Linked DNA regions of Drosophila melanogaster. The protein of the gene in region 1 purifies or fractionates together with the protein of each later gene. This does not show direct contact. Each region holds a gene or a part of one and is shown on either strand. Other genes may lie near its edges.

Region 1 (3,756 bases):
CATCTGGTTTTTGGGTCGTCGACTCGATGTCGTCCCAAATTGCCTGCTTGTCGAACAGCGCTAGATTGCCCTCAAAATCGAAATCCTCGTGGATCAGCGGATCGTCCGCCTCGCTGCCAAAAGTCAGTTGCACCTGTTGCTGCCGCATGCTGCTCTCCCTTCGCACCCTGTTCCGCTTGTTCTTCCCGTTGCCGTTGCCATTTCCATTGGTATAAGAACCATTTCCGGTGCCATTTCCATTGTTATTGGCATTGCCATTCCTTCTTACATTTCCATTTGTATTCCCATAGCTCGAGGCTGCCGTCTGCTTGTAAAATCCATCTCCGTTGCTGACGATATCTATGGGTTTGCTGCTGCCCAACGACAAACCAGTTGCCTCGCCGCTATCTCCGCTGCTGCTGCAGTAACTCTCCCGGGTGTTGCTCACGTAGGAGCCCAGTTTCACCTCGACCTTCGGCGGTATCATGTTGCCAAAAAAGGCGGCCACGCTGTTGGGAGTCGTTGATATCTGCGGCTGCTGCTGAGCGCTGGACGCACGGGATGTTTGTGGTGTTCTGGATGACGAAACAAATATAAAAGTTAGATGAAACCTATTTTAAATACGACGCTCAGTTGGCACAAGACCTATCTGAAACGACTGTTGCTTTTTATCAGTAATAAAGGTAATTTACTCATTTCGTATCTCAAGGTTGGTAAGTTTAAACATAAAGATGGCTTCAAAATGAAATGAAATAAACACAATCGTGCTGACTGCAAAAATCTTCATACTTTTTTTTTTTATAAAGAGCTAACAATTAATTTAAATTATTGGCATTGCACAATCGTTTAATGGGCCATATTACCTAAGGGTGCCATTTGAGCCGTTGGTCTCGATTAGCTTCAGCTGATGCATCTTATCGCTTAGCGCCGAATTGAAGTTGCCACGTGGGCCCGAAGAACTCGATGCTCCGCCAGCCGCTACCCGTCCATTGTCGTTGGCCCTTGACCGCGGCGTCGATGGCAGATCCTGTTCTCGTTCCTGCTCCTGGAACTGCTGTTTCTGTTGCTGCTGGAGTTGTAGCTGCTGCTGCTGCTGCTGGAGTTGGAGCTGCTGCTGCTTGCCCAGGATGTTGGAGAAGTGGGGCAGCTTGACGGGCGTGGGCTTGTTGACCACTGGCGGCGGCGCCGTGTGCCCATCCAGATCTTGCTTTGCGGGCTCGATGAGATCGATGCTGCGAATGTCCGTGCACTTGAGGACCACCTCGGCGTTCTGCTTTCGCAGCGGCACGCCATTGCGGAAAGCCCTCACAATGGTGATCTCCTCGGCAGAAATCTGCTTGATCAGGCCCTGGAAGACGCCCAGGACCTCGTCGCAGGCTATAGACACTGCACAGCCGATCCAGTCTTGATCCGTCGGACCCATGTAATCAGTTTTCGATACTCCCTTTGCGAATGCGACAACACGTTGGATCGGCTTGTTCTGCCCTGGCTAATGGTTGTTCGAAATGTTTGCTGGCCCGCGCAGAGCTGCTTGTTGTTTTCGTTTCTAATACGCAATTTCGCCACTAACTAACTACGCACCACGCACCTCTCTTCCTCTTCTTCCTGCTGCTGCACCGCCGTTGATTCTAGTGTTTTGTGGCTTAAAGTCGGGTGTTTTTGAATTATTTGGCTCTGCGGTCAAGGGGTTCGGTATTTTGTCTCTTTTAATCAATAAATGCACCAACCGTTGCAACACATTGACGCTAAAACTTATTGGATTTCTCGTTTCATTGGGATTTTCACTGCTTGCGTGTGGCCGTTCGTTGGTGTTCAGATAATACCGAACAATACCCAAACTAGCTGCGTGGCAAATTAGTTTACTTAATAAATTTATAATAATATACATATTTATAATAACTACAAATTTCATGCTTTACGGAAACTTCACCTTATTTTGATAAATATTTGGTTCAATAAAAGCCTGCGAGCCATTTTATGAATTTAACAAGTGCTTCCCTTAACTGTTAAGGCTTCTGGGTGCTGTGGTATGTTCTCAGTGCGCGTACACGGTCACTCTGGCAGTTTTGTTCTCGATTTTGTCGCCGTTTTGTGCATTTTTCCCGTCCGGTGTTTAAATTTTATTTAATACTGCGCGTGCGACATATATACAGGCACCTATAGCCGACCGATATCGGCGATTAAGGCATGTGCGCCGCCGAAGCGGTCAAAGTGATAATCGCTTGAATAGTGAGCAGTGTAGAATTTGCCGTGTGATAGAAGTACGTGATGATTTTCCGCAAATAGTGGATAAAGGCGAGCCCACACGCATACCACCGCAAAATATATACATAAATCGGGCGAAAATATAGTGGCCCGTGTTTGTGCGTGTGTAAACGTAAGTGGAAAACTTGGGCGAAACTTTATGCTAACCATAAATGGTCTACAAAGACATGGCTTCGCGCCTGGCTAATTATCAAGAAAATGTTTGGCTTTTGTGCTCTATCACCCACACCTCATTCACACAACACACACACTAGAAACACGCTTGCACGGGGGCAGGGCGGCAGACAGAGATGGCATCTAGCACAAGTACCGTTGTTCACTTTGTTTGCTGTCTTTGTTGTCTGTTCGCTTTTCTTTCCTTCGCTTCTGTACACCCTTCCCCCTCTTGTTACCTTATGGCAGCCTCCTCTTCTTCTTCTTCGTGTCATTTATCGCTTAATTTGCACTTCCGCTTTGCACATATTCACCCTCTCTCCTTCCGTCATTCTTTCATTGCAGAAGCTTCTCTAAAAGAAACAAACAACAACAACACAACAATGTCGGCACGTTCCAGCGGCTTGGTGGCCGCGGCGGCCCTTCCCGTCCCGTCGTCTTCTTCCTCGGTGGCCGGCGGCGACGTGCCACGCCCGCCGCCCCGCCGGCGAGCGGCCTCTGTTGCGGGACAACAGCAAACGCGCCAGGAATTTGGAAATGGTTACACTCCTCGCAGATCGTTGGCAGCAGTGGTAAGTTTACATAAGTGCAGGTGACGACGAAAAGAGAGAGCTTTACCTTGAAGGACAACTTAGGAACTCTTCTAACATCTTAGGAATTTTGTAGGAGCACCTTATGGTTACAACCTTATTTCACAACGCATCCAACTCTGATTGAAAAATTTCATTCCATTTTTGATAAAGCCAGTTAACTAATTATGGGTTATATAAACGCGTATGTATCAAATTAAGTTATCATAACACCAAATAGTGACCGTGGCACCTATATGTTTATCAATTTTTAATAGATAGTAAGGTATTACTTACTATGACATCTTATAAGATACTCTTATCAATTGTTTTGGTTTCGTTGCAAACTGACTAATCAATAAATGTATCTCATTTTAAAGGGCATACCGAAATGTTGTCTTATCAAAACTAAGCCAACCAATTCCTATAACCTTTTATAAGGAATTGCCCACAATGTATCCACCATTTTGTTGGTGTGAAGATTTGAAAAGTATTTATCAACGGGTGGTGCTGGGGGATTTGGTCGCCCTTATCAGTGCCTCCGCTGTATTTAGTGTTTCCATTTTTACGATGTTTTCACTACTAATCTAATCTGCAGATTGCCAAACAGCTGAGTCGTGTAGATGGGCCATGTAGATTTCACTCCCCTCATGGATGATAAAGTGGGATATATGTATGGTGGGAAAAGTAGGGGATCTACAATTCCTTCAGAAGCCGAAAAGCACGAAAAACTTACGAACTGTTCTTATCCAATACCTAGCTTTTACGGTGTAAAGGTCGTTGCATTTCG
Region 2 (3,756 bases), 120 kb from region 1:
AGATTTGGAGGATTTCACAATCAATCCCAATGTAAAGCGACTTTGCTCATTCTTATTTTTTAAGAATTCACTAACAATCGGGCTCAAGTACACTTATCGTTAACATGCTTCAAAGCTGGCATATAATTATTTTCAATGTAATATATACATATAAAAACTTAGGTAAGGTTCTCTGGAAAATACACTGGTTTTTCCATTGAAAAACAATAGATGTTTAAACCGAATAAATCGATTTGCTTTTAATGCGTATGCATTCGGCTAAAAATAATTTTTGAATCTTTAAAATAAATAGAAAAGCTTTTACATTTCTAAATGTCAACACATATGGAATTACCTTTGAAACAGATGAGAAATTTTGTGCAAAATATATACATATTTTTTTTTAATAATTCCATCTGGATTTGTAATTCCAAAAGTGTTTTTGTATCTAACAATATACAGTATTAAAAAAACAGTATTTGGTATCTATAGAATAATATGTGGTTTGTCATAGCCAAGTTTTACTGCGTATGCGTGTATGTAAAAATAGGATTGGAGAGGGAGTTAGAGCTCTCGAGAGGGAGAAAGCAACAGGGCCGTGACAAAAGGCGTTGGAAATTAGGGAATTGCCGTGGAAAAGTAACAACGCAGTTTGGGCCAGGTTTTGGGTTTCAGCCGGAGTTTGTTCGGTGATAAGAAATTTGAGCGCGTGGACAGCTGCCAAGCAGCAGGTGTGCGCAAGGGAGAGGGCGATAGAGGAGGCATCAGTGGAATAAAGCATAAAGTAAACCAGTTAAACGGGACCGGGAGCACAAGAGAGAGGATGAAGATGCAAGCGGAAGAAGCTGAAGAAGATGCAGATGGAGCTGTCTGAATGGAAGGTCTCTCAAGGGGCAATTTCCTGGATTGAATGAAAAACACACAGGCACCGACAGCTGCAGTGGTATTGCAGTGGAATAGAGAAAGAATAAGATTAGGAGCGAAGAGGGGAGGCGGTCGACTGCGAGAACGAGTTTCCAAGCAAACGGCGCTTGTTGTTATTGTACAAGGGCAAATGAATTAATTTACTTGAGTAAATATGAATTAAATAAACAAGTACACCGACACAGGGGTAGACTTATCGGAGTGTGCACTTTTTTTTTTAGCGTTTAGCACCTGAGTGGCGAAATCTAGCAGAATTAAGATTATTAATGTGCTAAACAAAACATAAACACATGTACACACACAAACGCACAACTGGGGCTAAAGTGCTGAGGAGGGGGAGAGAGAGCCTTAAATCTCCAGGAGTGCTCCTGTAACGGTTATTTGTTTCCCTTTCTTCGCCCTTTCTTTTCACGTCTATTTCTGTACCCGATTTTAATTCGATTTGATTCTAGTTCGCCTTTTCTATGCCATGTTCTATTTATTCACCTTGTTTTCTTCTATGCGTTGGTCGATTGCGATTGCGTTCGCTTTTCTCTTTTGCGCAGCGCTCTCTCACGTTTCCGTTTTATTGATTTTGTTCGAATTTTGTTGACTTGTTGTTGCCAAACACGCACACAGCTAATACTGTTGGTTTTTTGGCAGAACTGCGACAGTAGGCGTTTCGCTTTCAAGTGGCTTCACTATACGCAATTTAAATAATTTAAAACTGGGCTCACTTCGCGAGCGAAGCGAAAAAAACAAATGCACCACCACGAATAATCTTCGATTTCTGAGCTAGTGGTGGCCAGCTGCTGGGCAGTCCGTATCGATTGTAGGGATGTAAGCGTGATAAGCTATCGAATCACATGAAATTAGTTATTAACATCGGAAAATAAACTTGCGTACTTGAATATAAAAACCTGAAATTATTTTGTACACTTTTATAGTGACAAAAGTTTCAAATTGCTGAAAAAATATCAAGAAATAATAATAATAAGTTTATTAAAGCTGTTCAAAAGTTTGATTAATTGTCTAATTCATAAACAGTATACGGAATACCCTAAACGATGAAAAGACAAGCAACCCGAATATAATCGATAAGCCTAAATAATGTTATTTTCCCTTCTACTCATCACTAAGCTAAGAAAATTTTGTAAACAACGACGTGGACGTAGTAAATTTAATTAGAATTTAGCCACAAAAATGCATAAATGTGCTATATTTCTTCTACTGGCTTTAAGTGTAAGTTATGTCTGAAGCTAAGACATGTTTTTAATATATATTTTATACCCTACAGTGCCAGCAAATTCAAGCCGAATTGACGGCCGCCGACTGCCGGGCGTTGGGTTTTATTAAGGCCCAGTTAATGTGTTCCAGTTGCGAAAAACTGGATGATTTCGGATTGGATACCATCAAGTGGGTTCAATAACATTTAATTAATCTAGCTTTGGAGTTGTAAAGATACCCATGAACTATGCTATAATCATTCCATAAGAAGACCTGAAAATTGTTTAATTAATATGTTAATCTAATTAGATCAGGTTAAATTTCATACCTCATTTTAAATATTCCAACCAAAAATGCTTAGCTTGACTTAGTAAGCTCCTCCATACCACTGACTAAATATGATTCTTCCTTCAGTTTTTAATAACAAAAATTATATTAACTTTTTATAGTTTCTGCTTGAGCCCATTGCTCTTTTTTATTCATCCAAAACATTTTTAACATTTCAGGCCTCAGTGTAAGCAATGCTGCACTTTGGATCAGCAGCCGGCGGCACAGCGGACATATGCCAAGGCAATTCTGGAGGTGTGCACCTGCAAATTCCGGGCCTATCCGCAGATTCAGGCCTTTATTCAAAGCGGCCGACCTGCCAAGTTCCCCAACCTGCAGATCAAATACGTAAGAGGACTGGATCCCGTGGTTAAGCTCCTAGATGCCAGTGGCAAAGTGCAGGAGACGTTGTCCATAACCAAGTGGAACACAGACACTGTCGAGGAGTTCTTCGAAACGCATCTGGCCAAGGATGGTGCCGGCAAGAATTCGTACAGCGTGGTGGAGGATGCCGATGGAGATGACGATGAAGATTACCTGCGAACCAACAGGATCTAAAATAAGCATACCCAAAACTGTAGATTAATAAAATCCGAAACAAAACTATAGACCGTACCATTTTCTTTCAAAATCATTGAATATTTATATTTTGTTAAATATATTCTGTTCAAGAACTAAAAATGTGTAGACGTGAGATTAGTACTCCAAACTTCTGGGATGTCAAGCCACTGAATTTAAAAAATATAAACATCAAGATCAGGGATATACATAAAATTGGCTTGTAATATGAGAGATCTAATCTAACTAAAGAGATTTAGTTTTTAAAAGTTTTTAGAGCCACTGCAAGGTGGCGTGAGCTTTTCTACGCGCCACCGCGGAAAAGCTGTGGACACAGTTTGAGAGTAACTGACAAGCCAGTTACTGCAATGCGACGCCGTGGGAGTTTTCGATTCATAAGTATAAATTAAATCATTTTATTTGTTATCTTGTTATCGATGGCAAAGGAAAGTTCCCGGCTGAGGCAACAAATTCGCGGCATTGTAGCCGAAATTCTTATCGCAAAGACATCACACCACACCACACCCCCCCCCCCCCTTTGTGGCCGTCAGCAGTGACGTAGTGGGCTCACATGGTGGGGGTCCTCAAGTCGATCAATATTTGATCAGCCTGCTGGAGTAATTGTGGTAACTGAAACGGCAAACAGCATATTTCTGCCCGCCAAAATCGTAGCTGATGTCTATTTCCGATCTGTGACGCAGCCTTGACATCGCCGTCTTTCCGCTCTCTTAATCTTGTTTTTATCCGGATACCGCGCATGAT
Region 3 (3,756 bases), 7.8 Mb from region 1:
ACCTAACGAAAGGGAAACCCAGATTAGATATGACCAATTAATTGTGATTGGGTCACGCAAAGAGGAGCCCGGAGCTCGGGGGGTCAGAGCTCGTTGCTGAGTCATTCCCCGTGGCGGTTCGCAAGCACAAGCAATCATCGCAGTGCCGCTGGCTACCAGTTGGTCAGAATTGCCCCCACAAAGAAGAATTTTAAGTGCTTTTACGACTCTGTAATGCTCTACCTATTTGTATGTGTATTTTAATGGACTGAAAGAACTTTACAAAGAGCTTTGATTTCAGTTCGAAAGTAATGTCGAGCATTTATGCTTCTCATTATTGTAATGAATAAAGTTGATCGAAATTATCAAAATACTATTTAAGTAGCTAATAAGAAATGAACTATAGCTTTGAATAGTATTAAAACTTTAACAAATAAAAAGATAAATTTAGCCAATTTTCAGAGTCTTAATAAAACAAACCAATTAAAGAAATGGATATGATCTCCATTTAAATTTTCTCAGCAAAAAAGGGTCACTTTTAAGGTCAACTCAGTTGGAAAATGTTGGCCGGCAATTAGTGCGGAGTTTCGATAAACAAAGGATTGGTCTTTCTTTATTCCATTCCATCTGCTCGTGAGCACATGAACCAGCCCAAATTACCCTTGGCAGAGGGTAGCGAACACAGCACAGACACATATTATCAACAAAATATTGCACCCGTAGTTACACACTCATGCGCCAACGGTCGGAGCTTTATCGTATTGTGTTGTTAATCACGGCGATATCAGGGTTGGCCAACTTACGGATATGTTGTTGAAGCTAGGCGTCAGTTGGTAGGCAATGAACGTCTTCATCCCCTTGAATTTGGACTCCTTTTTGGGACTGGCCACCACAACGGAGTAGGGCGAATGGTTCTGCGTCCACTGGTAGATCGAGTCCTCCACCTGTGTAATGTAGGCCATCTCGCATTCGGGTATCTTCTCCTTGGTGCTGGACAAGCCGAGTATATATGAATCGGAACTTTTGGCGAACATGCCCTTTTTGACGGTGCCAGCAGCACCAGTCCCACCAGCCACGGAGGCCAGTGATTGGGTATCATCGTTGGGCGCGATGGGCAGGTGTTTGTTATCGTAGTCACTGGTGGAATGCGACAATCCGCCAGCGCGAGCCGACTGTCCCGCAGACTTCTGGCCACCTGGACCAATTTCCGAGTACGTGTCATTGTCGTCGCTCCAATCGTCCTCATCATCCCAGTTGCTGCCATCATCATCCGCCGTCTGATCGTAACGCGGCAAAGGGGGCGAGGCGAAGGGATCCGGAACCTGTGGCACCGACGTCGCTCCACTGGCGCTCAGCTTCTGGGCTTCGGCCGCCGACATCACCTCCACGTACGCAGCCGGGAAGAGGCCAATCTGGCCACGGGCATTCTTGCCCTCCCACCAGCCTTCACCCACATCGCTCCGGGTCACCGAGAGCACGTCGCCAGTCGCGATGGAGAGCTCCGAGGAGCCCGGCTCCCCGGTAAAGTCGTACATGGCACGCACGTACGAGGTCATCTTGGTGCTCTCCTGGTCGTTCCTTTACGCTAATTCGAGTCCTGTCTTCACAGGGGCCATAAACAGACAAGAAATATCTACTAATTCTGAATCACCAAGTGTGAAGTGTTACCGTTTCTTGGATTACGGAATTAAACTGACACTGACGTCTTCTTCGCTCTGCAGCAACAAGATATAATGATGATACAGCAATTTTATTAGGGGTATTCCCCCAACACACCTGAATTCTACACTTGGAACAGAGGCACTCTCTAATTTGATAAATAATTATAAAAACTTCATATTTATACTGTACTACTACTATATACTCACTAAAATAAAATAATATAAATGGTACATTTAAGTCGATCAAATTAAATTAATGAGTTATTGCGTTATCAAGAAAGATTTAGCTGTGAAAAATTACTTATGTTTATATAGATTTAACCTACAAATATTTCAAATAAATTGCTAGGTGGGTATACAATTTTATAGTAATAAATCAAGTAAAATATAAGGACAAATTTATGATCATAATTTTATATTGCACCAAATGCGAGGCGTTTCAACTACATTACGGTCTCCCCCTACTGATAAGCGCCGAGTGCCAGGGCTGCAGAGCACGGCTCAGCTGTCGATGTATCGGGATGCATCGAAGTATCGAGTTGGCATAAAAGAATCTGGTCTTCGTGTCGTGTTATTCATTCCTTAATTGCGCCTTGCTTTAATTTGTGGGTGAGCGAAATCGGAGCTCGGCGACATCGCCAGTTGTGCAATACTGACTCCAGCGGTATCTGTTAATCCCCAACCACTTCGCAAACGTATTTTCTTTGCCTTGCAGATTTGCTGACTTTGTCGTTCGAGTACTCAGCGTTTAACGACCACAATGAATCGGCAGGCGAAATTCCTAATCTTGTGCCTCTTTGTGGGCCTCTTCTCCGCGAATTTGTGCGAAGAAGGTGAGTCTTTGATCAAATTACACCGAATTAAAATCGAATTGAAGACACGCCGAACACTCATTTCTCAATTATGCACTCGGACACACACACACACACGCTTGCATGTGCATGCGTACGTGTGCGCAAACCCCTCGCGTGTGTGCGCCGTGCGGGCATGTGGGTGTGTGTGTGCATGAATGTGCGTGTGTGTGGATGTGGGGGTTTTTTAAATGCCAATTCCTATATTGAATATCAATTCTCCGGCCATTTTCTCTTACTCCGACTTTGGGGGAATGTTCTCCGCATAAGAACTGCAAATCTACAGCTTTCCAAAAGAAACTTGGAATTTACGAAAGTCCGTAAATTGTCACATTACCATACGTTAATATTTGTGGACATTTGGTAAATATGTATTTACCGAGCTGTAACCATATTTTGTTCGCAAGCATTTATTTAAATCGTCACGTCCTAATTACCATACGAAAATATTTGTACATATTTTAGGATTTAAAGAGATTTTGACCATATTTTGTTGACAAACAATTTAATGTTTACTTTTTCAGCTTTCTTAAATTTCCATTCCTTAAATTCCATTATTGCATACAAATAAATATCACCTAAATGCTGCCTATTTTGAATATAGTAATCTTTATTTTCCGAACCAAATCAATTTGTTTTGTTACGTTTTTCTATTTTGTTTGACAATTTTGACATCATTTACATGTGCAATGGAACTATTTTTATTTTCAATTCTTACAAAACATGTGTATTCGTTGTGCTTTTTGAAATATTGGAAATCGATCAATAAGAGTCGTTGTGAACTTATCATGCTTACCAATTTATTTGCTTTTAACTTTGGAGTGACGCATAAGTTTTTATCTATAATATTCGTTGCTGATTACTGCACACAAGCCCTGTTTTTTTGAAGCTATGATAGGCGCTGTTCTTACTTAAAATTATTTTTTTACGATGTATTCATTCTGAAATAAGAAATATGAACGTATCAAAAAGGGTTGATTAAAAAAAACCACACATTGGGTTCATTACTATAATATTTACTACACTTGAGTCTATCTGATGTGAAATAGTTTTACGAACTTATCATAAGCTAATATTTATAAACTCTTTTTATTTGCCTTAGCAGTGACCACACCGGCTCCAGCGGACACCACCACCCAGGAATCCAAGAACACCACCACTCCGCCGGACACCACCACTACTGTGACGCCACCGTCGACCTCAACCACGAGCACCACAACTGAAAAGACCACGACGACGCCACCAATTACCACATCGACTGAGAA

The links.
Region 2: the proteins of Nedd4 (region 1) and Ndfip purify together in Drosophila melanogaster (affinity purification with western blotting; one study listed by BioGRID). This does not show direct contact.
Region 3: the proteins of Nedd4 (region 1) and SH3PX1 purify together in Drosophila melanogaster (affinity purification with western blotting; 2 studies listed by BioGRID, with this or other methods). This does not show direct contact.

The regions. Positions count from the first base shown.
Region 1 is NT_037436.4:17,528,067-17,531,822, forward strand, and holds the start of Nedd4 (Nedd4), read left to right. Parts: upstream 1-2,014; 5' UTR 2,015-2,356; intron 2,357-2,742; 5' UTR 2,743-2,780; coding exon 2,781-2,969; intron 2,970-3,756. Other genes in the region: Edc3 (enhancer of decapping 3), read right to left, coding at 1-554, 843-1,402. UniProt on the Drosophila melanogaster protein: Essential E3 ubiquitin-protein ligase which accepts ubiquitin from an E2 ubiquitin-conjugating enzyme in the form of a thioester and then directly transfers the ubiquitin to targeted substrates.
Region 2 is NT_037436.4:17,652,603-17,656,358, forward strand, and holds the start of Ndfip (Nedd4 family interacting protein), read right to left. Parts: upstream 1,679-3,756; 5' UTR 1,390-1,678; intron 1-1,389. Other genes in the region: CG7484 (uncharacterized protein), read left to right, coding at 2,086-2,124, 2,180-2,298, 2,616-2,994.
Region 3 is NT_037436.4:9,712,151-9,715,906, forward strand, and holds the start of SH3PX1 (SH3 and PX domain containing 1), read right to left. Parts: upstream 1,678-3,756; 5' UTR 1,536-1,677; coding exon 783-1,535; intron 3-782; coding exon 1-2. Other genes in the region: vsg (visgun), read left to right, coding at 2,401-2,473, 3,594-3,756.